7 linked regions of the Canis lupus familiaris genome follow. The protein of the gene in region 1 purifies or fractionates together with the protein of each later gene. This does not show direct contact. Links are inferred from orthologs where the notes say so. Each region holds a gene or a part of one and is shown on either strand. Other genes may lie near its edges.

The links.
Region 2: the proteins of U2AF2 (region 1) and U2SURP purify together in Homo sapiens (affinity purification with mass spectrometry; 3 studies listed by BioGRID and IntAct, counting the BioPlex papers as one, with this or other methods). This does not show direct contact. The link is inferred for Canis lupus familiaris from reciprocal best matches to the Homo sapiens genes U2AF2 and U2SURP.
Region 3: the proteins of U2AF2 (region 1) and HNRNPF fractionate together in Homo sapiens (co-fractionation; 3 studies listed by BioGRID, with this or other methods). This does not show direct contact. The link is inferred for Canis lupus familiaris from reciprocal best matches to the Homo sapiens genes U2AF2 and HNRNPF.
Region 4: the proteins of U2AF2 (region 1) and SRSF1 purify together in Homo sapiens (affinity purification with mass spectrometry; 4 studies listed by BioGRID and IntAct, counting the BioPlex papers as one, with this or other methods). This does not show direct contact. The link is inferred for Canis lupus familiaris from reciprocal best matches to the Homo sapiens genes U2AF2 and SRSF1.
Region 5: the proteins of U2AF2 (region 1) and SF3A2 purify together in Homo sapiens (affinity purification with mass spectrometry; 3 studies listed by BioGRID and IntAct, with this or other methods). This does not show direct contact. The link is inferred for Canis lupus familiaris from reciprocal best matches to the Homo sapiens genes U2AF2 and SF3A2.
Region 6: the proteins of U2AF2 (region 1) and TRA2B purify together in Homo sapiens (affinity purification with mass spectrometry; 4 studies listed by BioGRID and IntAct, counting the BioPlex papers as one, with this or other methods). This does not show direct contact. The link is inferred for Canis lupus familiaris from reciprocal best matches to the Homo sapiens genes U2AF2 and TRA2B.
Region 7: the proteins of U2AF2 (region 1) and NCBP1 purify together in Homo sapiens (affinity purification with mass spectrometry; 3 studies listed by BioGRID and IntAct, with this or other methods). This does not show direct contact. The link is inferred for Canis lupus familiaris from reciprocal best matches to the Homo sapiens genes U2AF2 and NCBP1.

Annotation. Positions count from the first base shown.
Region 1 is NC_049222.1:102,850,845-102,854,344, forward strand, and holds part of U2AF2 (splicing factor U2AF 65 kDa subunit), read right to left. Parts: intron 3,259-3,500; coding exon 3,123-3,258; intron 2,391-3,122; coding exon 2,346-2,390; intron 2,056-2,345; coding exon 1,952-2,055; intron 1,657-1,951; coding exon 1,505-1,656; intron 186-1,504; coding exon 69-185; intron 1-68. UniProt on the Homo sapiens protein: Plays a role in pre-mRNA splicing and 3'-end processing. By recruiting PRPF19 and the PRP19C/Prp19 complex/NTC/Nineteen complex to the RNA polymerase II C-terminal domain (CTD), and thereby pre-mRNA, may couple transcription to splicing.
Region 2 is NC_049244.1:39,151,482-39,154,981, reverse strand, and holds part of U2SURP (U2 snRNP-associated SURP motif-containing protein), read right to left. Parts: intron 3,149-3,500; coding exon 3,054-3,148; intron 2,970-3,053; coding exon 2,934-2,969; intron 2,844-2,933; coding exon 2,761-2,843; intron 1,793-2,760; coding exon 1,627-1,792; intron 1,220-1,626; coding exon 1,008-1,219; intron 77-1,007; coding exon 33-76; intron 1-32.
Region 3 is NC_049249.1:3,803,346-3,807,484, forward strand, and holds the start of HNRNPF (heterogeneous nuclear ribonucleoprotein F), read left to right. Parts: upstream 1-1,339; 5' UTR 1,340-1,427; intron 1,428-1,741; exon of another isoform or gene 1,742-1,747; 5' UTR 1,748-1,812; intron 1,813-2,351; exon of another isoform or gene 2,352-2,496; intron 2,497-4,139.
Region 4 is NC_049230.1:32,652,926-32,657,085, forward strand, and holds the start of SRSF1 (serine/arginine-rich splicing factor 1), read right to left. Parts: upstream 2,801-4,160; 5' UTR 2,653-2,800; coding exon 2,459-2,652; exon of another isoform or gene 2,052-2,458; coding exon 1,867-2,051; intron 1,493-1,866; coding exon 1,320-1,492; intron 1,121-1,319; coding exon 926-1,120; 3' UTR 1-925. UniProt on the Homo sapiens protein: Plays a role in preventing exon skipping, ensuring the accuracy of splicing and regulating alternative splicing.
Region 5 is NC_049241.1:57,264,475-57,267,974, forward strand, and holds part of SF3A2 (splicing factor 3A subunit 2), read right to left. Parts: intron 1,727-3,500; exon of another isoform or gene 1,591-1,726; intron 1,308-1,590; 5' UTR 1,269-1,307; coding exon 1,143-1,268; intron 1-1,142. UniProt on the Homo sapiens protein: Component of the 17S U2 SnRNP complex of the spliceosome, a large ribonucleoprotein complex that removes introns from transcribed pre-mRNAs.
Region 6 is NC_049255.1:18,824,673-18,828,652, forward strand, and holds the start of TRA2B (transformer-2 protein homolog beta), read right to left. Parts: upstream 2,801-3,980; 5' UTR 2,542-2,800; coding exon 2,506-2,541; intron 1-2,505. UniProt on the Homo sapiens protein: Sequence-specific RNA-binding protein which participates in the control of pre-mRNA splicing. Can either activate or suppress exon inclusion. Acts additively with RBMX to promote exon 7 inclusion of the survival motor neuron SMN2.
Region 7 is NC_049232.1:55,304,732-55,307,635, reverse strand, and holds part of NCBP1 (nuclear cap-binding protein subunit 1), read right to left. Parts: intron 2,883-2,904; coding exon 2,768-2,882; intron 1-2,767. UniProt on the Homo sapiens protein: Component of the cap-binding complex (CBC), which binds cotranscriptionally to the 5'-cap of pre-mRNAs and is involved in various processes such as pre-mRNA splicing, translation regulation, nonsense-mediated mRNA decay, RNA-mediated gene silencing (RNAi) by microRNAs (miRNAs) and mRNA export.

The sequences.
Region 1 (3,500 bases):
CTGGGCAGATCAAGGCTGCTGCAGAGAAAGAACACACACCTTCTGACCCCACAATGCAACCCGCTCACCTCCAAGAAAGCAAAGTTCTTGTCCTGGTTAATCTGCACAGCCAAGACGGGGTTGCCAGGAGCCTGGGTCAGACCCCCAAGGCGCATCTGGGCGTTGAAGAAATCCATCATGGCCTCCTGCAGAGGGAATAGGAGACAGGGGGGGGGCGGGGGGAGGGAGGTGGAGAGAGGAGGGGAGGGTGAGAGAGGGAGACACAGAGGGGTTTGGGGGGGAGGGGAGGGAAAGGGAAAGGGAGGGTGGAAGGAGAAAGGGAGGGAGCAGTGGAACAGGGGTGGGGGCAGAGAGATCAGCAGGGACAGAGACAGGAGAAGATTAGAGAAAGCAAGGAGGAGTAGGAGGCAGCAGCAAAAGACAGCCAGGGGCCAGGAGTGTGGGGAGGACCGCAGGGGCCCCAACCAGAGACACGTCATTCAAGAAAAACGCATAGAAATGGCAATGACAGGAAAAGAAGAAAAAGCATAAAATAGAAAACAGGGAGGTGGAAGGTGAGAGAGAGAGAGAGAGAGAGAGAGCACATCCCGTGAGGACAGGAAGAAGGCACAGCAGGAAAGCAGGAAAGACAAGGGAGAAGAATCAGAGAGGAAGACAAGTCCAGAGAAGAAAAGGAGTTGGGAGAGGAAGAGGAGCCAAGGGACAAGGAGGGCAGAGGGCGGAGGGAGGGAGGAAGGGTGGGAGGGGGAGAAAAGAGTGATGTGGCGGGATCTGGCCCTGGAGTCCGGGGGCTGCTTTATCAAACGTAGCAAAGTGCAGGTTGAGAAAGTCAGAATGGACCTTACTTGCCTTCGACGACGGTAGCAAACTTTTTGTTGCTACGAGGGATCTCAGCCCCACAATATTTCACTTTAAAGAGAAATGGAAACAACTCTTTGATCTCGGGATTCTCGGGGTGCCACGGGAAGGGGTGGGGGGGAGGGAGGGGAGAGGAGTGGTGGGGAAGGTTGGGGAGGTCAGGGCCATCAAAACAAAAGAGCAGCGACCACGGGAGGGACGTGGGGAGAGGATGGGAACAGGCGGCAGAGAACCAGAGGTGTGTCAGAGACAACTGAGGGGAGCGTGCGTCTGTGCGTGTGTGCGTGTGTGCGTGTGTGCGTGTGTCAGTGTGCGTGCGCGCGCGCGTGCGAGTCTCCCTCTCTGTCTCTCTCGATACGGACTGGACTCATGGATTTTCGTAGGTTCGTTGTGTGTGCCTTGATCCCTGGGTTGCTGGAGGAGGTTGGGAAAGGGGAGACGGGAGAGGGGAAGAGGAGGGAGGGAGAGGGCCACCCCCAGCCCGGCCCCTGGCTGGCTCAACTCCATCGGTCCGTCGGGGAGGGGGCCGGGGGGCCTTGCAGGAGGCAGAGTCTGACCCGTGCAGGTTGGGGGAGGGGAGGGGGAGAGGGGAGGAATGGGAGGGAACTGGGGAGAGGGCAGGGAAAAGGCAGGGGGTAGGCAGTACCTCAGTGATGCCAAAGGGGATGTTCCCCACGTAGAGGCGCCGGGCCTGTCTGGTCATCTGGCTCCCGACCACGGGCACCGGCGTCGGGGTCACAGCCAGGCCATCAGGGGTCATGGTGGGAAGGAGGGCGGTGGCTGGAATCTGACCCGCCGCTTGGAGAAGGAAGAGCAGGATTAGATGGCAACCTGGCAATCCTCTACACACACATCCCACCCCCAGCACACTGGTGGGAGAGCCTGGATAGGGGAGGAGGCAGCTCCCTGTGGACCAGCCCACACAGGCTCAGCTCCCCATGGGAACCTCACAGCACCTCTTCTGCAGTGGTCAAAAAGGCAAAATCCAGAAAGCCCGGGACACAAACCTTATCCCCCCTGCCCCCCAGCTCAGGATCTGCTCCCTCAACCACCTAGCATGTTCTCCACCAAGGAGGCGACAGCTGAAACCTACCTTGCATGGCCTTGTACTGCATGGGGGTGATGTGCTCGAAGCCAGGCGGGGGGACATCCCAATATTTACGGACCTTCTTCTTCTTCTCATGGCGGGGGGAACGACTGGGAAGGGGGAAGGGAGAGCCGGGCAGGACGACCTCAGTCTGACCAAAGGTGGGCCTGTGAGCACCCCAGGCTCCCCTCAGCTACCCACTAGGAGTGCAGTGCTCTCCAGGAGGGAGAGGATCTGGTCAGGGCTGTACCCAGGCCTCGGGAAGGGTGCTGGTTTCAAGGCAAGTGGAACCTCTTCCCCAGTGCTTGGGCCAGGGCTGGACAAGGACAGGGCAGGGTACACGAGGGCAGGGGCAGAGGGAGTGGACATCAGGGTGGAAGGGGCAGGAAGAGCAGCTCACATCAATCCACCGTGCTCCTCTTTAGCGCCTCTGGTCAAAGGTTTGCTGAGGGATGGGAGGGAAAGGTATGGGGAAGGGTGACTGGGGACCCTCGTTTTCCCCACACGCCACACCTCCCCAAGGGCACAGAGCCCCAGGGCTGGGGGCAGGCCCCCTTGGCCCTGCCATCCCCCCCAAACCCCCAACCCAGGAAAGAGGAACTGTGGAAGGGATGAAAGGCCACACAGATCACTTTCTACTTGGAGAAACTGAAATGTAAGAAGGCAGAACTTCCACCTACCCTACCCTTCCTCGCTTAAGGGGAAAGAAAACAGAGGGGAGGCTAGGGAGGGAAGAAGCATTAGCAAAGCAGATGGCAGCTGGGTTCACAGAGGCTGCCCCACTTTGAGAACCCCTCTTCCCAGGAGGCAGAGTATAGACCCCAGAATACAATCCCAGAAAAACACAGAATAATAATGGGAAAAAGAAACGGGTCCTAGGAGGCAGGGACTGAGCCAGGCCTCGTGAACACAACACAGAAGAGTCAGCACCCTGAATCCAGACTCACCTCCATGATAAAGAACCCAATGCCCCCACCAACCCACCAGAAACTGAAGACTCTAGAAACAGAGTATAAAAAAAAAAAAAAAAAAAAAAAAAAAAAAAAGCCCATATGCAAGACAGACAAGTAACAGACACCTAGACACACACACACAGAGAACTCAAGAGGCCGAAGCACACCAGTGTCTGGGTGCAAGGACACTCCATTCCCAGCCAGGGGTCCCCAAGCCCTGGTACCTTCGTCGCCGCCTGTCCCTGGAGGCACTCCGCTGGTCCCGGTTGCGCCGATCACGGCTCCGGCTCCGGCGCTTGCGGTCCCGGCTTCGCGAGCGGCTGTGGCTACGCTTGCGGTGCCGGTTCTCCTTGTCCCGTTCTGGGCCAGGGGAGGGGGAGGAGAATGAGCTGAGGGAGGACATGGCCCAGCCCACCCACTCACTGGTGGCTATGCCCCGAGCCCCAGGGAACCCACCCCCCAAGGGGAAGGGATTCAGTGGAGGAGGGAATATAGCAGGCTTCCTGGGTCCACAAGCCAGTCCAGGAGCCCTGGGGGTCCCAGGGGACAGGAGCTGGTTACCTGAGGGGACAGAGCCTGGAAATGCCCACGGGGTGTAAGAT
Region 2 (3,500 bases), on another chromosome or scaffold:
TTAGATCAGTAATAATAAAGAAAAACATGTACCTTTCTGTTGGGATAACCACTTTGACTATGGCTTGCGACAGAGTCTGTATATGAAGTCACATCAGATAATAAACATAGAATATGTGAGTATTGTTAACAAGTAACAAGCAAAAATATACATAATGCATTGAAAACACTACACATCTAATCACAAAGTTTTGCAGGCAATCACTGCATTTGAAGTAATTATACACTAAGCAATTACATAAATGCAAATGGATGTGTTCAGTGAACAATAACTGTTCACCAAATGCAAAGAATCAGAACATTCCTGCCAGAATGCACATCAATGCACTGAAATAGGTACTACACCGAGAATTATCAGATAAAGATTTTAATTTGTGAAATAATTAACTGTTTGCCTCTGACCATACAGTTTGCTACTTTGTTCCCAAGCCTTTAAAACCAGCCCTGTCATTTTAAGTGTAATTATTTCATAATAGAACCAACAAATTCTTATAAACTTGAAATTAAGTTGGTTTTATGTTTAATAAAAAGAAAATACTCACCCTTTGCTTTTAACTAGAGCAGTTAACTGTTTTAAAAAACCACATACGCTCTCAAATACTCTAACATCTCAGATCCTGAGAACTAAGTTAGCTAGCAGCCATCCAAACAGTTTAACTATTTAGGTTTTTCTAATTGAAAAGTCACTTAACCAAATACAAAATATCACTTTCTCAGAACAAAGTAAATTTAGATACTGCACTTAAGCAAACCTGGATACAACAGTGGACAAAAGGGAAAAAAACTTAAGTGGTCAAAAAAGGAATGGTAGCCACAAATAAAAATATGACCTAGTATTTCAATATAGGGTTTCCATGGGCTAAGGCAGGGAACACATCTACTTATTTCTTTCAGAGTTGTCAAACAGAATTACACACACACTTTCTATAAAATTATTGAAAAGAAAGACTACCACAGATTTAGTATTTACAAATTAAGATGCGGCCCTATGTACATTTTTTAAATTACCTTCTCAAAATCCTCCTTGTTTTTAGGTGGCGGTAACATTGGAGCATTGGGGTTTTTTAACCTCTCTCTAGGCTGCGCATTAAAAGGCAGTCCTGATGGAGGTGGGGGAAGTGTATGTTCCATCATAGAAGGCGGAATGTATATTGGATGTGGAGGAATAGGCACAGCTTTACCCCAACCTAACTTCATTTCAAAAGACATAATCATCTTTCCTACAAAAAAGAAAAGAAAGGTCACCCTGGTTAACTCTCAAAAGAAAAAATTTCTGTTAATTTGAATTATTTTTCATGTTTAACCTTTCCAGTTCTGGTCCATTTTCCCCCTAGAGGTGTTTTGTTTGTTTGTTTTAAAGATTTTATTTATTCATTCATGAGAGACACACAGAGAGAGAGAGAGAGAGAGAGAGAGAGAGAGAGAGAGGCAGAGGGAGAAGTAGGCTCCATGCAGGGAGCCCGACATGGGACTAGATCCCGCGTCTCCAGAATCACATCCTGGGCTGAAGGTGGCGCTAAACTGCTGAGCCCCCAAGGCTGCCCCCCCCCACCCCGAGTTTTTATAAATACTTTTCAGAGCCAGGAAAAAAAGTGAATTCTATAGTAGACAATAAAAACTTTCTTACCATTTAAATTTTTTAAAGCTCTTTCAGCATCTCTTCTATTCATAAAAGCCACAAAGCCACAATTTCTCTCTCTTGCTCTTTCTTCATCAGTTCTAGGCCACATAATTTTCACACTGGCTAAGGGTCCAAATCTTCCAAATTCTTGACAAAGCATTTCTTCATTCATCTATTAAAAAGCATATGAGGGGTTTTTTTGGTATGCAAATAAAAGGGGGAAATTCTATCCAAAAGCAAGCAAATGTTTACAAAATGAACAGTGAGACATATCAATGCTACAATTTTCCACTGAAGCACCAGGACCTCTATACAGTAAAATCTTGCCCTCAGGTGACATTCACAAATCTTTTCATACCAGAAACACAAGTGTTCAGGGTGAGGAGGCTTGGTGGCTAAATAAATCAAAAGTACACCTCTATCTAGCTCTCCTCCTGTTCCTTTTGAGATCTTGCATATTTAAAATAAGCTGTTCTTCGGCACTGGTTTGTTTTTGCATTTAGCAACGTTTATCAGGCAACAGTGATTATCACATTTAAGACAAGTAAAAAATATATGTTGGTAATGAAAGCAAAAAAAAAGATCTGATCACTTTCTCTTTTTCCAATACCCAACATTATCAAGAAGAGAGAAAAGAGTAAATACACAATGAGGTCCAAAACATACATAATTTAAAAGAGCATATTATGGATAACTACCACTACATTCTTCATAACACAAGTAACGCTGAAGTGAGGAAAAGAATTAAGAAGAAGCACAAATTACTAGTTTGCTATCGTGAAAAGAAAAAAGAAAAAGGATATCATTAAGGAAGCAAGCTATGCATAAGGTAGTCTCAAAAGAGCACTGTCCACCACAGATCATGATTTGATAAATAAAAAAAAATCAGTACACAGTAAGACATTTCAAATTCAGACAGTCTAGTCAGAGAAAGACGAGATAAGCACTGTGGCAAGACAGTTCAGCCATATCAACAAGCCTCAATTTTATAAGATAATTTTAGAGACTTCTATAGTTTCTGAAGTTCCATCAAGTCTGCTTACTTCAGGTGCTTGATTTTATTTTTTCATTGACAAGGCAGTTTTCTTCCATAATTATAAAAAATATGAGCCAATGTTCATCTAACTTTTCTAATATTACCTGTGGATTAATGTTTCCAAGATATAAATTAGTAGTGCTTGGATCTCCTACATCATGTGAGCCAGGTGCATAATCATCAAGAACTAGGACAAAGAGGGGGAAAAGAATTATAACCTGCAAACTACAAAATTTGGACAATTTCTATTAATTAAAAAAGCAAAAAACTGTATTACCACCAGATGATCTATTTCTTCTGGAAGGCGCATCCACTTTAAAGGAAGGAAAAGAAAACAGTTCTTAGTTTTTTAGAATAGTTAATCACAAATATAAACATTAAAATAAATGCCACTTACTAGAACGACGCTGACCATCAGAATCTGACTGAGGAGGCTCAAATCGGCTTAACCTGCCTTTTGTCTTATGTCTCTCATCACGCTCTTCCTGAATTCTGTTGAAAACATTTGTTATCACTAATAATGAGCCAAAAGTTGTTCATTCACAGTTATTAAGAATATAAGTTATCCAGGTACCATGTTCATATAACTTGAAATATTTGTAAGTAATTAAATGCCAGCACTAACAACCGAGATTAGAAAGAAAGTCCCTCAGCTATTAGTCATGAGCAAATTTCTGATATGTCATGCAAGCATTAGAATACAAAACCCACTTCTAAGGTGAGGAGCAAATTCAACATTAAAACCACTGAATCTGTCCTTTCTTGGTTAAGTTTGCTCACTCCTCACCCCTACCTCAGTGACTACATTGTTTCCACTGCAAACAGGACTCCGGACATTAGATAA
Region 3 (4,139 bases), on another chromosome or scaffold:
GATTACTCCCAAGACCAGAGAGAGGCTCATAATCAGGCCAAGGCTCTAATCTTTCTTTCAGGGAGGCTCTCAAAGATTATTGCATTGTTGGGCAGCCCGGGTGGCTCAGCGGTTTAGCACCGTCTTCAGCTCAGGGCCTGATCCTGGAGACCCAGGATGGAGCCCCACGTGGGGCTCCCTGCCTGGAGCCTGCTTCTCCCTCTGCCTGTGCCTCTGTCTGTCTCTCTCTCTCATTAATAAATAAGTAAAATTTAAAAAAAAGGATTATTGCATTGTTGATCAATAATGAACAGGGAGCCCCTCGAAGGGATCAAAGAGCCCGTGTAGCTTGAGTCTCTCTTAACGGACTATATAAACATATCTTCTTGGACCTGGCTTCACAGTCCCTTAATTCTGAAGCACTATTTTTTGTTACCGTTTTAATATTTGCCTCAGATTGGCTGCTTGCATTCTCTCTCCAGAACCACTTTTCTACAGTCTGCTATGATGAAGTCATTGTGGAGTTTTGTGGGAACACCTACCTGATTTTTGTAGGACTCATTTTCAGTAATTTTGCTTTAATTTTCTCCTTGTACATTTTCACCCCCTCTAACAGCTCTTCCTTTCACTTTTCCCATTTTTCTTTCCTAGAATCAGCTTTTGACAAACTGCTTTTTACTGTCATCCGCTCATAATCTGCCACTGCTCCAAACATTCCCTTAATTTAACCAGTGATTTTAAAATAATCTGTTCTGTGAAACCTGTGATGAATGCCTTGATCTCATCCTCTTTATAAAGAGTCTCCAAAAATTAAAATGGTGATAATTACTAACTCCAGAACACATCAAGAAGTCTCCACTGCTCTCAGGCTGGGAAGCCATTTCCACCCAGCCTTTAGTTTCAGGTGTTCCCTTGGGTCTTCTGGGTCACCTTCAGAGACCGGGGACTCCTCAGCCCAAGTAATCAACATGTGAGCAACCTCAGTGAACATGTTACTCCTTCCCTAAATTCTGCAATCGGAGCCGCCTTTATCCGTCTCGCTGTTTTCGGTTCCCTATTTTCTCCTTGGCAGGAAATTACTCTTTTTTTTCTCTCACGCTGATCTTCAATACCGGAGTCCTTGAGGTCCCGGTTTAGGGGGGGAACTCTCCCAGTCAGCATCTCCCGGAGCTCAACGCTGCCGCGGTCAGACCCTCCCCCGCCCTGAGAAAGGGCTGGCGCGAGGCAGCGGCTCTCCTCTCCACAGCGTCCCCTTCCGCAGGCCCCGGCCCTGCCCCGCGCCCCGCAGACCAATCCCTGGCTCCGCCCCGGGAGCGGCACAATGGCGCCCTCGCGGCCCCGCCCCTGGACGCACGCCGCGGAGGCCCCGCCCCGCCCCGCCGCGCTCCTCGCGTCCTTCCGGCTCCGTGGTGGAAGTAGCCCTTCGCCGCGTCTTCCTGGAGAAGAAGGTGGGGTTCCGCGGGGAAAGCGGCCGGCGGTCACGCCAGCAGCCGGAAGTGGGGTGGGGGCGCGGGCTCTCCGGGCAGCGGCCCTCGGGTGCTGGGGTGCGGCCGAGCGGGGACTGGGCGAGCCCGGAGCAAGCGGGCTGCGGGAAACGCCGCGTGCGCCCGACGGGCGGGAGTTGTGCGCCGGGGCCGGCCGCGCGCCAGGCCCCGCCCCTCGGGGCCCCGCCCAGGGCGCGCTGCCAGGGGTTTCCATGGTGATGGTAAACAAGCCTCAACTGCCTCAGCTACAACTGCCAAGTTCCCCGCGTTCCACCCTCCTCTAGGTGCTCAGAGGGACGATCGAGGTGCCGGATGTGAAGAGCGGGAGCGTGGAGACCCGGAGCCCGAGGTGAGGGGCGGGACGGGCGGCGGGTCGGAGGCTGAGGGCCGCACCACTGGGACGGACCGAGAACCGGGCCCTCTGGGCTGGGGGCGGCGGGGCTGGGATACGGATTTGGGGGAGGCTAGGTCTGAAGTCAGGGGCCTCACCCACGGGGACCGAATGGGCATTGGGCACGCAGGGGCTGAGGGTTGGGGTCGGGAGAGGCAGGGGCTGAGGTCAGGGACTGGGCCCCCTGGGGCTGAGAATTGGGGTCACGGAAGGTGGGGTCAGAAGTCCACGGCCGTAGAGTCGGGGACTGGACCCCTGGACTGAGATCGCGGGTGCGGGGAGGCAGGCCTGAGATCAAGAGCCATCCCCTCGGGGACTGGACCGCTGGGCTGGGATTCAGGGCCGCGGGAGGCAGGGAGGGAGGAAAGGCCTGGTGCGGCCTCCGGGGTTAGCAGAGCTTGAGCGCCCTGCCAGAAATAGCGCGAGGGCACCTGACGACCGTGGGAGAGGGGCTTCATTTAAAAATGAAAGCAGTACTTTCACGTGGTTGAGTTGCACCAGACTGGTTGGCAACTGACTCCTCCCCCCTCCCACGTTCCCGCTCGCTGAGCCTCCACTTTCGGTCTTTGAGGCCTTTTCTTCCTCTCGGTGTGGCGTGTGAGTGCCGAGCGCCGGTCTCCGTTTTGTCTCCTGCTTTTAGAGGTATTGTGTCTGGTTTTTGGGTAGAAACTCTTTGGTTCTCGTTATCTCTGCCGGGTGACCACACTTACGCGGAGCGAGCTTAATCGGCCGTTTCTTTTTCCCTTGCCCTTTATTTCTTTGTATCCTTGAATGTATTTTTTGCTGGTTCTTGACTGCGCCTAAGAAACTTCTGGACTCTGCCGGCGCTTGCGCTGCGCCCTCTACCTTCGGTGTGCCCGCGTGGGTCCCTGAAAGTGGCGCCGGGCGGCCTGGTGACGCCGGCAGAGTCCGGGGACTCGCCCGACCCCGTCTTTTATAGACCGGGTTAGGAGGCCACAGGCCCCTCCCTGTTGGTCTGTTCCCTTCAGGAGCTCTCAGGTTCTCGCCGGACAAATCCCCAGACCCCGGAGAGCCCCTTCCCCAGCTCCAGCAGGAACCCCCTCCCCCGCCGCCCCGCGTCCCTCGGGCCGGGCCCGCCGGCCGGACTCTCCTCGCAGTAGTTCCCTTCCCCCGAGGCCTCAGGACGCAGGAACGTGCTTCCTTTAGCTCTCACAGCTACCTGGGGGTGTCCGGGCTCCTGTCTGCCCCGCGGCCGCGTGCGTGGCGGGAGCGGGGTCCGCGAGCTACGGCTCGCTGAGTGGGGGGAACCGCCCGCCGGGAAGGGGGCCCCCGAGGTGCCCAAGGTTAACGCCGCGCCTCAGGTCTCCGGAAGTTGGTGGCGCTGGAAGAGCTCTGAACACTTCAGATACTCTTTCAGTTCAAAACGTGGTCGAAATTCCCTATCTTAAATGTAATTCTATTACTTACAGTCATTTTTTTAAAGGTTAACGGTTTCTGAATTTCTAGTAAGAATGAAAATACTTCGGGTTCTCCGGTTAGACAAAAAAATGCGTTGGGGTATGTCAGTGAAAAGTGATGTTTTCAGTGTTAATTTCTAGTCAAGATTCTTCATTTTGAAGTGAGTAAATTTCTACTTATGAAGTTTGGGAGAGGTTGCTGATGTTACTAATTACTGGTCTTTAAGCAAGCCCATCTTTAGTCATCTCTTGTGCCTGTATGCATTTCTGTAATTTGATTAGATTTATTACATACTAGGTCTTTTTTATTTTAGGTTTTAAAATAATTTTTTAAAAAGATTTTATTTATTCATGAGAGGCAGAGACACAGGCAGAGGGAGAAGCAGGCTCCTCACGGGGAGACCGGGGGAGACCGATGTGGGACTTGATCCTGGGTCCTTGGATCACGCCCTGAGCCGAAGGCAGAGACCCTCAACCGCTGAGCCCCCCTAGGCGTCCCTAGTTTTTAAAATTTTAACATTGTTTTTGTGGTATTTTTTTGGCAATTTTTAAATTTTATTACTTTTTAAATTTTTATTCTTGAGAGACATAGACAGAGGGAGAAGCAGGCTCCACACAGGGAGCCCCATATGGGACTCGATCCCGGAACTCCAGGATCACGCCCTGAGCCAAAGGCAGACGCTCAACTGCTGAGCCAGCCAGGTGTCCCTGTAATTTAAAAAAAAAAATTAGCAGGTGACTGGTTTTCATTTAAAAGTCTTGCTACAGGGCAGCCCGGGTGGCTCAGCGATTTAGCGCCGCCTTTAGCCCAGGGTATGATCCTGGAGACCTGGAACCAAGTCCCACGTTGGGCTCCCTGCACGGAAC
Region 4 (4,160 bases), on another chromosome or scaffold:
TTAAAAAAATGAAATAGCAACGCTATATCAGTCACACAGAGGACATGCAGATTTAGCAGTATTGATATTATACTCTATCTGGTTGGAATTAAAGACACCCTGTACCCACATGTACACCAACAGCAGGTCACACATTAACAGTTGTAACTAAGCACTGTGACAAATTAGCCAGTTCTTCCCACATTAGTCCCTATTAAAACAAAAAAGGGGGGAAGGGAGCAAAATAATTGTTACAAAATGGGCAATGTAATTTTGCCACAATTGCCAAGGTTTAAAGAGCAAAGCAATTGTAGCTAAAGATAACTGCACAAGATGTTTGCAAGTGTTTTAAGGTAGATGTATATATATATATATATATATAATCACTTTTATCCCTTGCCTTTTAGTATAAGGTCAATACTGCCAATTTCATCTGTGACAATAGCACTTGGAGTCATACCATTGCCTCCATTATTGATCTGATCCTCCTCAATCCTCCTTTTGACAATCCTAAAATGATTGAAATGTGCTCCACAATCCTTAATCCAAAGCATTCTTAATCCATCTCTTCAGATATGTCTACAGAAAGACACATGAAAAGCAAGATAAACATAAGAACTTCCCCAGGTAAGATAACCACAAACACCCCCAACATCCCAGTTCACACAAACCAGAGCAGAATAGACATTTACACAATATCACAGTCTGAAGAGCATGGAGAATTAACTAAATTTCAACAATCCTGTCTATGACATCACTTAAAATACAATTTATCAGACATGAGGGGAATGTAGATGTTAGGAGCAAGGGGATATTACACAAGAATGCAATTCAACACTTTAGCCCATTCTGAACAAAACAGTTTGAATTAAAAAATGAAAAGATTGTACTGAGTAAAGGAAAACTGTATACAACATGGGTTCTACAAAAAGTGTCACCAATCATCTTATGTACGAGAGCGAGATCTGCTATGACGGGGAGAATAGCGTGGTGATCCTCTGCTTCTCCTTGGGGAGTAACTGCGACTCCTGCTGTTGCTTCTGCTACGGCTTCTGCTACGACTACGGCTTCGAGATCGAGATCTTCCATAACTTGGACTTCTGGGCCCATCAACTTTAACCCGGATGTAGGCAGTTTCTCCCTATTGAATAGACAGAACTTTCGATTGAAAGATCTAAGCTTTCACCTGTCTTCAGGCATGCTGAACGAATACAATGTAACTAAAACCAGAAATCTGGTATTTTACTTGGACACCCTTGCCTGAATCTTACCTTCAAATTCCACTGTTAAGACCACTGTATCCAATTCTGGCCAAAGAAAAGAGTAAGTGTAAAACCTACCTCATGAGATCTAAACTTAGTGTTATCCAGTTTTCGAACTGCATAGGTCATATCTTCTTTCCGTACAAACTCCACGACACCAGTGCCATCTCGGTAAACATCAGCATAACATACATCACCTGCTTCACGCATGTGATCCTTCAAATCCTGCCAGCTTCCACTTGGAGGCAGTCCTAAAAAAGTATTTTTTCAATACCAATCACCCTAAATTTCACACTACACTTAAAATCTATACTAGAACGAAAACCACTTTAAAATTAATCAGATTCAAGATCGTAGGTAAGAGAGCCATTAATTAAGATTCTGGAATCCAAAGTCCCAAATTCTCTGTAAAGTAAGGATCTTCATCGTCCAGGCATCCGACCTAATGGTAGGTAACTAGCACACTGGTACACCTCCACTACGGTTATCCTTTACTAAACTCACCCGAGAAACTAAATTTAAGACCTACCACAAAAACAGGCATTTGTCAAAACCACTCACGCAAGGGAACACTTAAAAGTGGCTCCTGTCCCTCCTCAACAACCCTCACCAACAGAAAACTCACCGGAGACAACCACTCTGTTTTCAGAACGCCTGGATGGGGGCCCATAGCGGCCTCGGGGAGCCCCGCCACCTCCACCCCCGCCGCCGCCTCGGCCTGTACCACGGCCGCTTCGAGGAAACTCCACCCGCAGACGGTATCCATCGTAATCATAGCCGTCGCGACCGTACACCGCGTCTTCCGCGTCTCTGCGTGATCAGAGAAAGCAAGAGGTGTAAGAGTAAGGCCCGGGAGGGGCAGCTAACTCAGTCGGGAACTAGCGGCCCCCGCACATGCGCACCCAGCGAGGAAGAGCCCACATGCGCTGCATAATAGGAATGGCCCCTCCCCCACCCAGAAGCACGCCAGGCTCCCGACCACTACACCAGCCCTCGGCGCCTCAGTTTCCCGCTCCGAGACGGAGAGTCCACTCTGGGGACGTCCGTGGGCCCAGCCACCAGAGAAACCACATCGACTCGGCTCTTACTCGACTCCTGCATGGGCGACACAGTCTTACCCCCAACCTAAAAGCCCACCTCCCCATTCTCGGTAACAAGGCCTTTCCCCAACTACTCCAACTTATTGCCTCCAGGCGGCGAGGCCCAGGCCGCCTCACCGAGGGTCCTCGAACTCAACGAAGGCGAAGGGCGGTCCTCCGCGGCGATTCTTGAGATCGATGTCGCGGATAGCTCCGTATTTGTAGAACACGTCCTCAATGTCCTTGGTTCGGATGTCTGGAGGTAAGTTACCCACATAGATGCGGCAGTCGTTGTTCCCTGCCGGGCCACGAATCACACCACCTCCCGACATGGCGGCGACGAAAAGCGCGGACTCGAGAACAGGCCTTCCCACCAAGCCTAGCGCACGGCAGAGCGAGCCCGCAGCGACACCACGTCTCCCGCGGCCCCTCCAAAATGGCGCCTTTATCAGCTCGGCGCACGGATATGGGGGGAGGGAGGAAGAGAAGCGGGAGGAAGCTGCTATTCGGCCTCAGTACGCACGCGCAAGAGCGTAACGGGTGCTGCGAGCGGTACGCTCACGCATGCGCGACGTCACCCTCCGCGCGAAGGGAGAAAAAAGTTCCTCGCGTTCTGGATTTGTGGAGTGGCTCGCAAATGACGTGACCGGCCCTTTGGTAAAAATTAAACAGAGATCCCTCGTCCACGGAGCTACTAATCCCTGACGAATCTTAAAGGATAGTCCGTTTTCTCAGGAATGAGTCTCTTTTAAAACAAGTCCGCGCCTTAAAAGCATTGGGTGAAACCTAGCCTGGAGCCTTGTCCCACGATGCTCTGCGGCGTTAACGGCCTTTGGCGGGAAAGACTGCTGGGGGCGGAGCTAAGGGGGGAGGGACCTGGCGGTTGCTCCGGAAACGGGAACATCCTCGTAGAGGGAGGCTGGTCCCGGAGCTCCGCTGTTGGTGCTTCAGTCCCGAGCTGAGTAGTGATTTTGTTTTCCTGCCCCCTCTGGTCTCAGGCGGTGGGCTGCTCAGACAAGTGTCTCATTTAGGGCAACCCAGCTTAGACCCGGTTCCACCGCCGGCTCAGAACTTGACTTTGTATAGCTCAGCTCAACACGCCTTGACCTAGTGGCGGTGGCCGAGCCCTGACCAGTCAACTAGGACTGAGACCTCAGCTTCTCTTTAATCGCCCATCACTGGGCCTAGCGCAGAGGTGAGGTCCATTGAAAGGTTGAAGAGTGAATTGTGCCTGTTACGTATCCAACTCTTTCAAAAAAAAAAAAACAAGAAAAAGCGCGCGTGTGTTGGCAGAATCCTGGAGTTTGTTCCTCTTTCTGACCTCATTCCCGAGCCTCTCAGGTAATATTTAAACGAGCTGGGGGGATGTGTTAGAACTGTGACCCCTGGAGACCACAGTTGCTGCTCAGAACTGATCCCACTTGCATGGCGGCCCAGGGAAATAAGAACCTGTTAACATTTTTTTCAGAGATATCTGAAATCTGGATTTTTATGTAAAATGTTGGGATTTTAAAATATTTGTAATGAATTCAACTTTTAAGAAAACCCTGCCGTCATAAATATGCTAAAACATCTGCACTCTGAGTTTACGGAGGATTTTCTTCATAGTATGTATTTGTTTGCAATGGTCCCCAAGGATGTGAAGCAGTTTACAGAGGTAACCTAGAACATTATTAAAACTGTACCAAGAACTCAGGGGGAATAGGAAAATAAGAGGGGAGGAATTTAAGATGAAGTCATGGATAAGGATACTATACAAAATGCCTGAGGTAATTGCCTGCCCAGTTACTAAAGATGGACTGCAAATTTGACTCCAGTCATCCCAGAAGTCATAGGAAAG
Region 5 (3,500 bases), on another chromosome or scaffold:
GGCAGGTGTTCCGAGGACAAACAACTAGGAGCAGCCTGTGGCCTGGGCCCCCGCAGGGCCTTCTGAGGCAGCACTGTGGGACCACCTGGGCCCCCGCAGATACAGGCCACCTGGCAGGGCTGGGGGCCACCAATGCTGGCCCCCGGCCCCACCTCTGTGGCAGTACTGGGTCCAGAGGGAAGCAGAGTCACGAGGGCACTGTGGGGCGTCCACCTCCCGGGTCAGGACAGGGACAGGTGGCTAACCCCCCTGGGATTCCAAGCACCACCGCACAGGCCAGACACAGGAAGAACAAAAGCAAATGGGTTAAAACAAAGGCCCATAGAGACGCTTGTCTCGGCGTGCAGGGCCTCCTCGGCCAGACGGCTGACTTTCCACAAGCACTCTGACCTGAGGCACAGAGCACACCAGTTGGGGCTCAAACCCTACCTCCTCTGCCCGGGGGCCCTGTCATCTTTGGCAGTGGTGGTCCTCCCTTCTTTCCTCATGAGGATGGTAACACAACTGACCTCAGAGGTGACGCTGGGAGCTTTGGGGGTGCCTGGCACATGGTGAGGGCTCAACACATCTCACAGAGGTTCAAAGTCTAAGGGAAACCATACTCTGACCCTTAGGGTCACAGCCAGTGTGACACTGCCCCTAAGGGACACTGGGTGGTGTCTGGGCCTGTGGTTGTCACAACTAGGGTGCTCCTGGGCACTGAGTGGGTGGGAGCCAGGGACGCTGCCCAGCTGCCAGAAGTGCCCAAAACAATCTGGCAAACAACCTGGCCCTAAATGTCCGCAGTGCTGGTGGGGAGACCCTGGTCCACCAAGAGCTCTGTACACCTAAGTAAAACACCGCCCTCTGACGTTTACAGCTAGATCATCAAGTCACGCGACGCTATCATGACCCTCACCACTGACAGTTCTCCACATCTCCGGTAAATCAAACAAAACCAAAAACTTCAAGCAATAAAAAGACCCTTTGAACAGCAGGTGGGCTCTGGGGTGGACAGGAGGAGCTGCTCTAGGTCAAGGGCTCTCAATTACGGACCAGGACTCCAAAGCTGAGAGCAGGGCCAAGGGCACCAGGTGCAGGGAGAGGGGGTAACGTGGGTGGGGAGGCCGCCTGCCCACCCGCCTGCCCCTGGTTTCACCAACCTTGTTGATGTCGATGGTCTCCAGGGCCAGCTGCCGGAGGCGCTCCCTGCGGTCTCGATTGCTCTCCGAGGAGGAGGCCACGCCTCCACTCCCGGTCTTACCCCCAGGGCGATGCTGGAAGTCCATGGTGAGGGCCTTGGGGCTTTACCAGACTGGCAGAGAGACCTGCAGGGCCAAAGGGGAGGCTGTGAGAGCGCAGGACTCGGCAGCTGCTGCTGGGGCAAGTGAAGACCCCCTTCCCAGCCTCCTCTTCCCTGCAGTAGTCTGAGGGCCCGGGTGAGCCGAGCACACACTAACTGGAGTAAGAGCGAACAAGGACAGGTGGGGTGTCTATGAATGACGGCGCCGGGGGACTGAAGAGGAAGCCACTGCAGTCCGAGGAGTATAAAAGCTTGAGACCCAAAATGGCAACAGGGAAGAGGTGGCCAAGTTCTCTAGCAAGTCTCACCGCCTTCAGGAAGCCTTCGTGGACTGCCCAAGTGTTCGGTGTCCTCGCCTCTGAATTATTTCCACTTGTCTATGTTTACTTTCCCCAAACTAAATTCTACTTCTGTGGCTCGGCTGTAAATCTGCTGAAGGCAAGGAAGATGCTACCTACCTACTTCTTCTGCCCAATGCACAAGAAATCCAAGACCTACTTGTGCCCAAGCAGGACTCTCCTGAGTCCTAAATAGCCTGGTTCCACTCCCTGCCACCACGCTTCCCAAGTTCTTTCAGGCTCGGCTCAGATCCAACCTCCAGGCACCTCCCTCTGCCCTCCAAACACGTTCTCTCTTGACTTGGGTAAGATCAGCCCCAGGCCCCTGGCGTAAACCCACGGTGTCTTGTCCCTGCAGAGCTGAGTTCATGGAATGGGGCTCAGGAGTGAATATGACCCCACAAAGATGTCTCCATTCTAATCTCTGAAACCTGAGGATTTGGAACCATAAATAGCAAAAAGGACCTTGCAGGGGCGGGCAAGTCCAGGTCCCTGAGGTGGGGGTGACCCCGGGATCCTCCTGAGAGGGAGGCAGAGGATGGAAGCCCTACAGACGGGCAGACCCCACGCTGCTGGTGGTGAGGACAGAGGAAAGGCTGTGGGCCAGGGAGGTGGCACCTCTGGAAGTGGGAAAAGGCAGGAGCAGGTCTCCCTGCCTTTACACTTTAAGAAAAACAACTTCAGGATTTATTTACTTATTTTAAAAGAACAGAAGAGAATAGAGAAGCAAAGGGGTGGTAGGGCGTAAAGAATCTCAAGCAGACTCCGCACTCAGTGCAGGGCCTGAGGCAGGGCTCAATCACGCAACTCTGAGGTCACGACCTGAGCCGAAGTCAAGAATTCAACCCTTGATGACTGAGCCACCCAGGCACCCCCCCCCCCCACTTCAGACCTCCAGAACTGCTCAGCAATAGACCTGTCGTTTAAACCACTAACTCAGGGCAGCCTGGGTGGCTCAGCGGTCTAGCGCAGCCGCCTTCGGCCCAGGGCCTGATCCCGGGGTCCTGGGATCGAGTCCTGCATGGTGCTCCCTGCATGGAGCCTGCTTCTCCCTCTGCCTGTGTCTCTGTCTCTTTCTCTCTCTCTGTGTCTCTCGTGAATAAATAACTAAAAATCTTAAAAACAAAAACAAAAAAAAAAAAACACCAACTCTGTGGATTTGCTACAGGGGCCATAGGAAAGTAGCACATCGGGTATGGCCTGCAGCGTGACTCGGGTCGGCCCCTAATGCTATCGGATCCAGACCTCTCCCTCGCTTGGTTCTTCTTCCCTTAATGAGCATATGAAGACCTCACACCTGGGAACCAGCAACACGACCATCCTGAAGGCTGACAAATCAGGGGATTATACACATCACAGGGTCAGACTTTTCATTATACGAGCCCACCCAGAGCTGCCCACTTTTAAGTTTTGTCAGGCAAAGCATGAAAAATAAGCACCATCAACTATGGCAATCACGCTGTGAAACAAACGTTTCACTGTAAAAAAAAGGAGACTATGACACCAGGAGAGCCCTCTGTGCCACGCTCAGTGAGACCAGGGAACACTGCACCCCAACAGCCACGGGGGCCTGCAGCCACGGTCTGCCCAAAGCTCTGTGGTCCCTGCAGACAGACCTCACGGGAGGCCAGCACTGCCCCACCTGCTGGCGAAGCACCTGACTGCCCCTGAGGGAGACTCAAGGTTTCTGGGTGAAGCGATGAGAGGGATGCCTGTGAGCGTGGAGGGACCGGCCCTCTCGCCTCCACTGGCAGTGGGGATCGGGGCCTGGGAGGTCTCTTTCCCACAGGTCCACAGGGACTTCCAGGGCTCCGTGGAGAACAACACCCAGCTTCTCAAGGCTGTTACAGGAGGGCGTTCACCTGAACAATGAAAACTGG
Region 6 (3,980 bases), on another chromosome or scaffold:
TATTTAGGAAGTGAACTTCTAAAGTTTAAAGAAATGGGGAAAAAATACTTCCGGAACTATGCTGGGGCTTCAGGAACAGCGACGTCTCAATTCTGGACTGCTAAATTAAGGGAGGGTTGGGTGGAATTCCAGCCAAACCAAGGAGATTTGTATTACACGTGATTACATTAATGGTACCAATCAGGCTTTTACTAATGATTTACATCAAGTTTGATAGGTTTAAGGGTCTAGAGTGGATTTACTACAATTTTTCAGGCTCCAGAGACGCTATTAACAGGTATGTCCAAGATTATTACCCTGAATCCAACTTTTTCACGGCTTTCAGTTCAAAGGATGTTTTTAGCCAATCAGACCTGTTACAAACACTTAAGTCTTGTTTATGGCATCATATCTAATCTGTTCCATTAAGCTTTAGGGTTTTGCCAGAGTTCTTTAGGAATCACAACCTTTTTTACGGTCTATTCTAATCTCTTCGGCTTCCAATACACCAATTGGAAAGCAATCTACATACAAAACAAAATGCCAAATAAAACTACGAAGTTTAGAAATGCTTCCAGGACTCAAAACTTATGTAAGGAAAAAAAAATCAATTTCTAACATGTAACTTTCCTTTATAAGAATTTAGCGAATACCTAACCTATGTAAACAAAGTTGTGGAAAAAACAAGGATTTATATTTTTAACCAGAAAAAAAAAATCAAAAAATGTCAAATTATTAGGATGGCAACCCAGAGCTGTTTCAAGCCAGGAACCTACCTTCAGCAATTTCCTCCCTTATGTAAAATACGACAATTTATTTTGGGGCAATGTTCGTTTTCACAAGCACACCATTCCAAGTAACTTATTCAGGTATATTCAACTAAGAGCGCTTCTCAGAAACCGGCCATTTTGTATTCTCTTCGCAGCGCAAAAAAGTACTCAGTAATTGTTTAAGAAAACCGAAGACTTAAAAGTTATCATTTGCTTCCCCCGTTCCAAACACCGATGACTAGATTCAACGGTATATAGTCAACTGGTAGAATCAGCAATCACTGCTTAACAATTTGTAGGTTGGGTCCAAACTTTCTTACGGTGGACAGCAAGAGCTTAAAAATACTCGTACAGGCACTGATGTTGGTGCAACCAACCGTCTTAAAGGAAAATGTAAAAAGCCAGTATTCTCTGAATAGGTGAAGCCTCATTACTCAAGTTAAATCAGATTTGGTTCCAAAATTACACAGTAAATTTTACAAAGTTTCAGGGCCTAAGACAGGAAGTTTTTAAAAAATGCCCTCTTAATGAAGGGCCCCAAATCGGTTTCATAGAAGTTTGCTAGTGTATTTGAATAGATTTACCTGACGACCGCTATTGAGATCTTAGGATGGCACTAGAAGGCAAAACTTAAGTCAACTGTCAAAGCACCCAACTTCTTTATCCTTACCAAGTTAAAAAAAAATCATGTTCTCTGGTGCTTTTCATTAATCTCACTCGAAGAAATTCTCCATATCCTCCGAATGCCCGAGATTGACAAGCTTTGTGTATTTTTGCATCTTCATGAATACCCAAGGCCTGCAACCACGCTTTATTTACTACACGCTTTTTAAGCCCGGAAGCGGTCTTATTCCCGCAATCTAATCAAACCACTACCGAACTCAACATTTGGGTTAAGTGGAGGCAAAGTCAAAGTGTACCAACATAAGCTGTGGCTCACAGAAGTAGAATGCCTCAAAACAAAGGAAATAACGGCGCCATACATGGTTGCCCGTCAGTTTCTTCTACACAGTCCCCTAGAAAATAAATATCTGCTCCATAAAACAAGAAAACCTCTGTAGCCTCAGGGTGTCGTCCATCGGATACCGATAACGATTTTTTCCTTTGAAAGAAAACACTTTCGATATCGGAAAAAAGCACTCCCTTTAGGCCAGACAAAAAGCCCGCGCGAAACCCCCTCTAACGGGCCCAGAACTTGTCTACCTCGGATTAGTTTCCCCGACGTAAAAAAGCCCCAAGAACACCCCAGACTCCGTCTTTTCGGGGTCCACAAAACGATTCTAAAGCTAAACGATGGGCCAACCCTCCCAGAGAACGCTGCCTTCCTCCCCCCGCTCGGTCTGTGAGGCGCGGGCCCGCCTTGACGCGCGGCTGCTCCGCCATTTTGTGCCTCTGGCAGCGCGCCCGGCCAGCCGGCCCAAGATGGCGGCAGCGAGGCTTCGCAGGAGAGCAACGGCGAAATGAGATACCGCTCCCCTCCCCCAACACCAAGGGGACGCAGCGGCCATTTTTAATCTTTCTCCCCTCTTCTAACGGAAAAAAACCGCCGTCTCGACTTGCGGGCCACACAAACCCGCCAGTGGCCTACTTCGTGACTAACGACACTATTCGCAAGGGCTTTTAAAACCCCACTCCTGTGCTTCCAAGACTCAGACTTCGGAGTCTAAATCGCCCGTCTCCGGAGCCGAGGCCGACGGGCCTGGGAAGAGATGCAAGCTGGAACCACACGGCCGCCCCCTGCACCACCTCTACGTACCCGCTCGCCGTAGTTCTGCTCGCCGCTGTCGCTCATGACTCCTAGCTGCTGTCGCCGCTCGACGGGCTTCAATCGAAGCTGCCAACCTCTGGCGCCTTCTGTATAGAGGCTCCGCCGCAGCCTCACAGAACGCACGGGCTCCCGAGCCGCCGAGTACCGAAGCGCTCCGCACCGCCTCCGCACGGGCTCTAAGTCTGCCGGACGTGACGCGGCGCTCCTTAAGCCGGCTCCTCCCCTTTCAGAACGCGCGCTTTCTTGGCCCCGCCCCTCGGCGCTCGGTCTTCCCTTTCTAGCGGCGGCGCGTCCGGAACCGGACGTGACGTAAGCCTCGCAGCCCGCCCAGCCCCACCCACCATCTCTGGGTCTCAGCGAGGCGGGAAAGTAAGCGTGCTGGACGGCCTGCGCCTGCGGTTGGTGGTCGCCGAGGGGCGTGGTGATGTCACCGGCCACGCCCTCATCTCTTCTGGAACTTTCCAGGGAAAGCGTCGCGGCGGTGGGAAGGAGGAGATGCCCTTTTTTCCCATCCTTGATTCCTTTCTTGTGCTTATTAGTTTTTGTGCCGCCTTTTGGTTGGAGAGACCCCATGTCCTTCTACTGCGACCCATGGTTTACCGCCTTGCACTTATTTAGCTTCAGTTGTGGATGCATCCTTCCTGAAAAAAACCTTCATTTGAGCACCTATTAAATGGTGAAGCACTCTCAGATCTCCAGGTGCTGACATCAGACACAATCTCTATTCTGAAAGAAGTTAGTGGTCCAGAAAGGAAGAACCGTTAAACACGGGTGTAAACTATGATTTTAAGCGCCAGAAGTGCCTACTGCAATGATGTCACTGGAGGGAAGATTAATTTTTTTTTTAAGATTTTATTTATTTGTTAGAGAGGGACAGGCAGAGGGAGAGGCGGGCTCCGTATAGGGAGCCCGACGTGGGACTCGACCCGGGTCTCCAGGATCAGGTCCTGGGTTGAAGATGGCGCTAAACCGCTGGGCCACCCGGGCTGCTCTTCTCTTACCCAATGGCGTGATAGACAGTTCTTGAACAGCCTCGGTTTCAACTGCTCTTGTTCACTTATACTTTTTTTTTTTTTTTTTTTATAAACACAGTACTATCCAGACCTTATCCTATGTACCCATCACCCATTAAAAAGGAAGTATGATAACCTGGCTGGTTTGGTACTTTTGGTACCTGTAAAGGACCATTTGATTTTTTTAAGCAGCTTTATTAAGATGATTACATACCATGCCATGCTCCCATTTAAAGTGACTAATTTAGGGACATCTGACTGGCTCAGTGTTAAGCATCTGCCTTTGGCTCAGGCCATGATCCCAGGGTCCTGGGATCCAGCCCAGCATGGGGCTCCCTGCTCAGTGGGAGTCTGCTTCTCCCTCTCGCTCTGCTCTTTACTCCACACCTCCCCCCTCCTGCCCCGTGCTCGCTCTCTCTCAAATAAATACATCTTTAAAAAGTAAAGTGA
Region 7 (2,904 bases), on another chromosome or scaffold:
CGACGGCACACGCATACACCCAAAAGGCCTGCAGGCACGTAGCTAGGCCATCCTTAGTGGCACCTGTCCTGGATGATGAGTTACAACTTTTACAAGGTAGCCCATTCAGGGAGGAAGTGTGTGTCACATTTTCTTCCATTCAAAATGAATACAGCTTTGAGCTCCATGCAAAGTGTGTAGCAGATTCTTGTTATTCACCATAGTTCTGTTTATGCATTTGCTGGGAACCCTGAGCCACTGCTTAGGGAAATCCAGGGTTAGGTTCTTGGGAGCCTTTTGGCTTATTTTTGTCAACTGATCCATACGTAACCTTATGTGTGTTTCTGTTTGAAGATAGCTTATTTAATATATGTTTTACAATTATATACAATGTTTCTTTATACTTAAACTGCTTGAGAAAGATTTAACATTTTCCTGACCCCGAGTAATGTGACTGTCAACTTCTTTGGCTGTCCACTTTTTTTTAAATCAGTCATTGTCAAAAAAAAAAAAAAAAAAAAAAAAAAAAAATCAGTCATTGTCTTATGAATCCACAAACTGAGCTGCTTTTACCACAGCATTACAGATGTTTTTTTAGAACTTGATGGAACAGCCTAGGTACAATTGGTGAATTTCCTTTTTCTGAATGTATCTATCCTATTGTTAAATTTGTGAACACTGAACTCATGGCCAACAGCACAGTTATTCATCACCAAACGAAGCTCATGTAATCCACGTATTTTTACTGTCAGAGACCTCACAGCCTTCCTGCACTACTGGACAGCATTTCAGCCCTATGCTTCAGGGCCATTTTCAACAGTGAAGTCACCGACAAAAGCTCAAATGTGGCACTAAATACACCTTGAAAAGGATCCTTTTTTTTTTTTTTTTTTTTTTAAATAGTATGAGAACTGAAACAAGGCAGAGTATTGCCTTGTTCAACCTTATCTGGGAACAAGCTCACTGGGCAACTCAAAATTTTCACTGCTCTGCCTATGTCTGAATGACGGGGAAAGCACTGCGAATATAGATTTTTGAGGTCACAAAGTTTAGTGAGTTTGCAAAATCAGCACCCGCAAATAATGAGGACAGGCAGTATATTCCTATAACTCTGCTACTGCTCATTCAACAAAGTAGATGGCCAGCAAAACAACTGAGTCACTAATACATAGCCATATGGCCTCAACAGTAACAAGAGAGAGGCAGTGTGCCAGTTTTTCATCTAACGGGCCATATAGAAAAGCTGGGCAGAATGGCATACAGCTTGAGAACCTGCTCATCCTTGCAATAATTTAGAAATAGCTCCGACTACATATAACTCAAAGCAGACCGTTCAAGCTTCCGCTGGCAATGATGGGCTCAATACAACTCTATTAAGCTTTAACAATTCCCTTCCAGCTCACCCTGAAGAACTTAGAGCATTCACTTAGGTGTTGTCTTTTTAATTTAGTTGTTAGATGACCTTCTCAGTGTCATAAAGCTAGTAAGCAGCTGAGCTAGAACCTGACTCCAGGTATGTTACATACTAAAGTCCTTTGGTCCTCTGAGTAAGAAAGTAAGCGTCACCAGACCTGGAAAACCCACTTCCTCCTAGATAACACTGTTGGCAATACTCCTTCTGGGATGGTTGCCTTCTACCCTTTAGACAAAGTTATCAGAACCTCCCCGTTTTTACAAAATTCTTTTATCTCTAACGTAGCACCTGCCTTATCTTGTAGGCAATTGGGTAGATGGTGGTCTTTTTCCTATACCACACTAAGGCTAGGTTCTATAGTACTGTTGCCTGTAGACCTTCCTGTGATGAGGGAAACGTTACATAAATCTGTGCTGCCCAACACAGTAGCCACTAGCCATACATGACTGTTGAGCATTTGAAATGGGGTTCATATGACTAAAAAACTGAATTTTAAATTGTATTTGATTTTTAACTTCTAGTTAGATGTGGTAGCAGGTACTGTGTTGGACACCACATATCTAGAGAATGGTGTGGCATGAAGGGAAGTCCCTGGAATTTGACAGGCTTGGATCAGATCCCAACCTCTGTCACTTATTAACCATGTAAGCTTGAACAAGTTATTTAAGTTCTCTGAGCCTCAATTTGGATATCTACTAAATGGGGATGATATCATTTACCTCGCAGTGTTTTAAGTTTGTGAATGTATGTTTATATATCATACATACACATATATGAATGTATGTGGAGACTAGCACTTGAACCTGCTGTAGGTTCAGGTAAGTCATTACATTTGTCTCCACCTACTCTGGTAAATATGCACATCACTGGAAAATACTATCATAAACACTAGTAGTACTATTATGCAAAATCATGGAACATAGTTCATTGCTTCCCCCCAAAATGGCTAACCATACTTCTTAATATGAGAAGTATTCCATAAACCAGGGAAGGTTTCCACAGTGCTGGGGAAGTGGTGCACAGTCTCCCTGTCTCCTCTTGCACCAGAAACTCTTAGAGAAATACAAGTGTCCTCTTTCCTTCTCTGCCTTCCCTTTTGGGAAGGGCAAACATGAAGTGGATTCAAAGAGAAGTATGGAAAAGCAAGGTTTGTGGCTTCCTTCCAGGTTTATCACACAGGAGAACAGCAGGGAGCAACACACCCCCAGGTCCTTCCTCTCCCTCTACTTCTACAATAGTCTGCATAATTTGGCCTCAAAAAAACCCAACAAAAAACAAAACAAAAAAAGTTCCCATCAAGGTAATGAACTTTGAATTTTTTAAGAGTTTCTGGCATCTTTTCTTTGACCATTTGCAAACCAGCAGAAGACTTACCCGTTTGTGTTGCCTTGCAAGTTTTTCTTTAGCTTCTTCTAGCTCTTTCTGGATTTTGAGAACGTGTTTGTTCATCTTACGAATTGTGGAGTGCAAAATTTCCCAAACAAACAATCTTAAAGTAACATAACATTTAG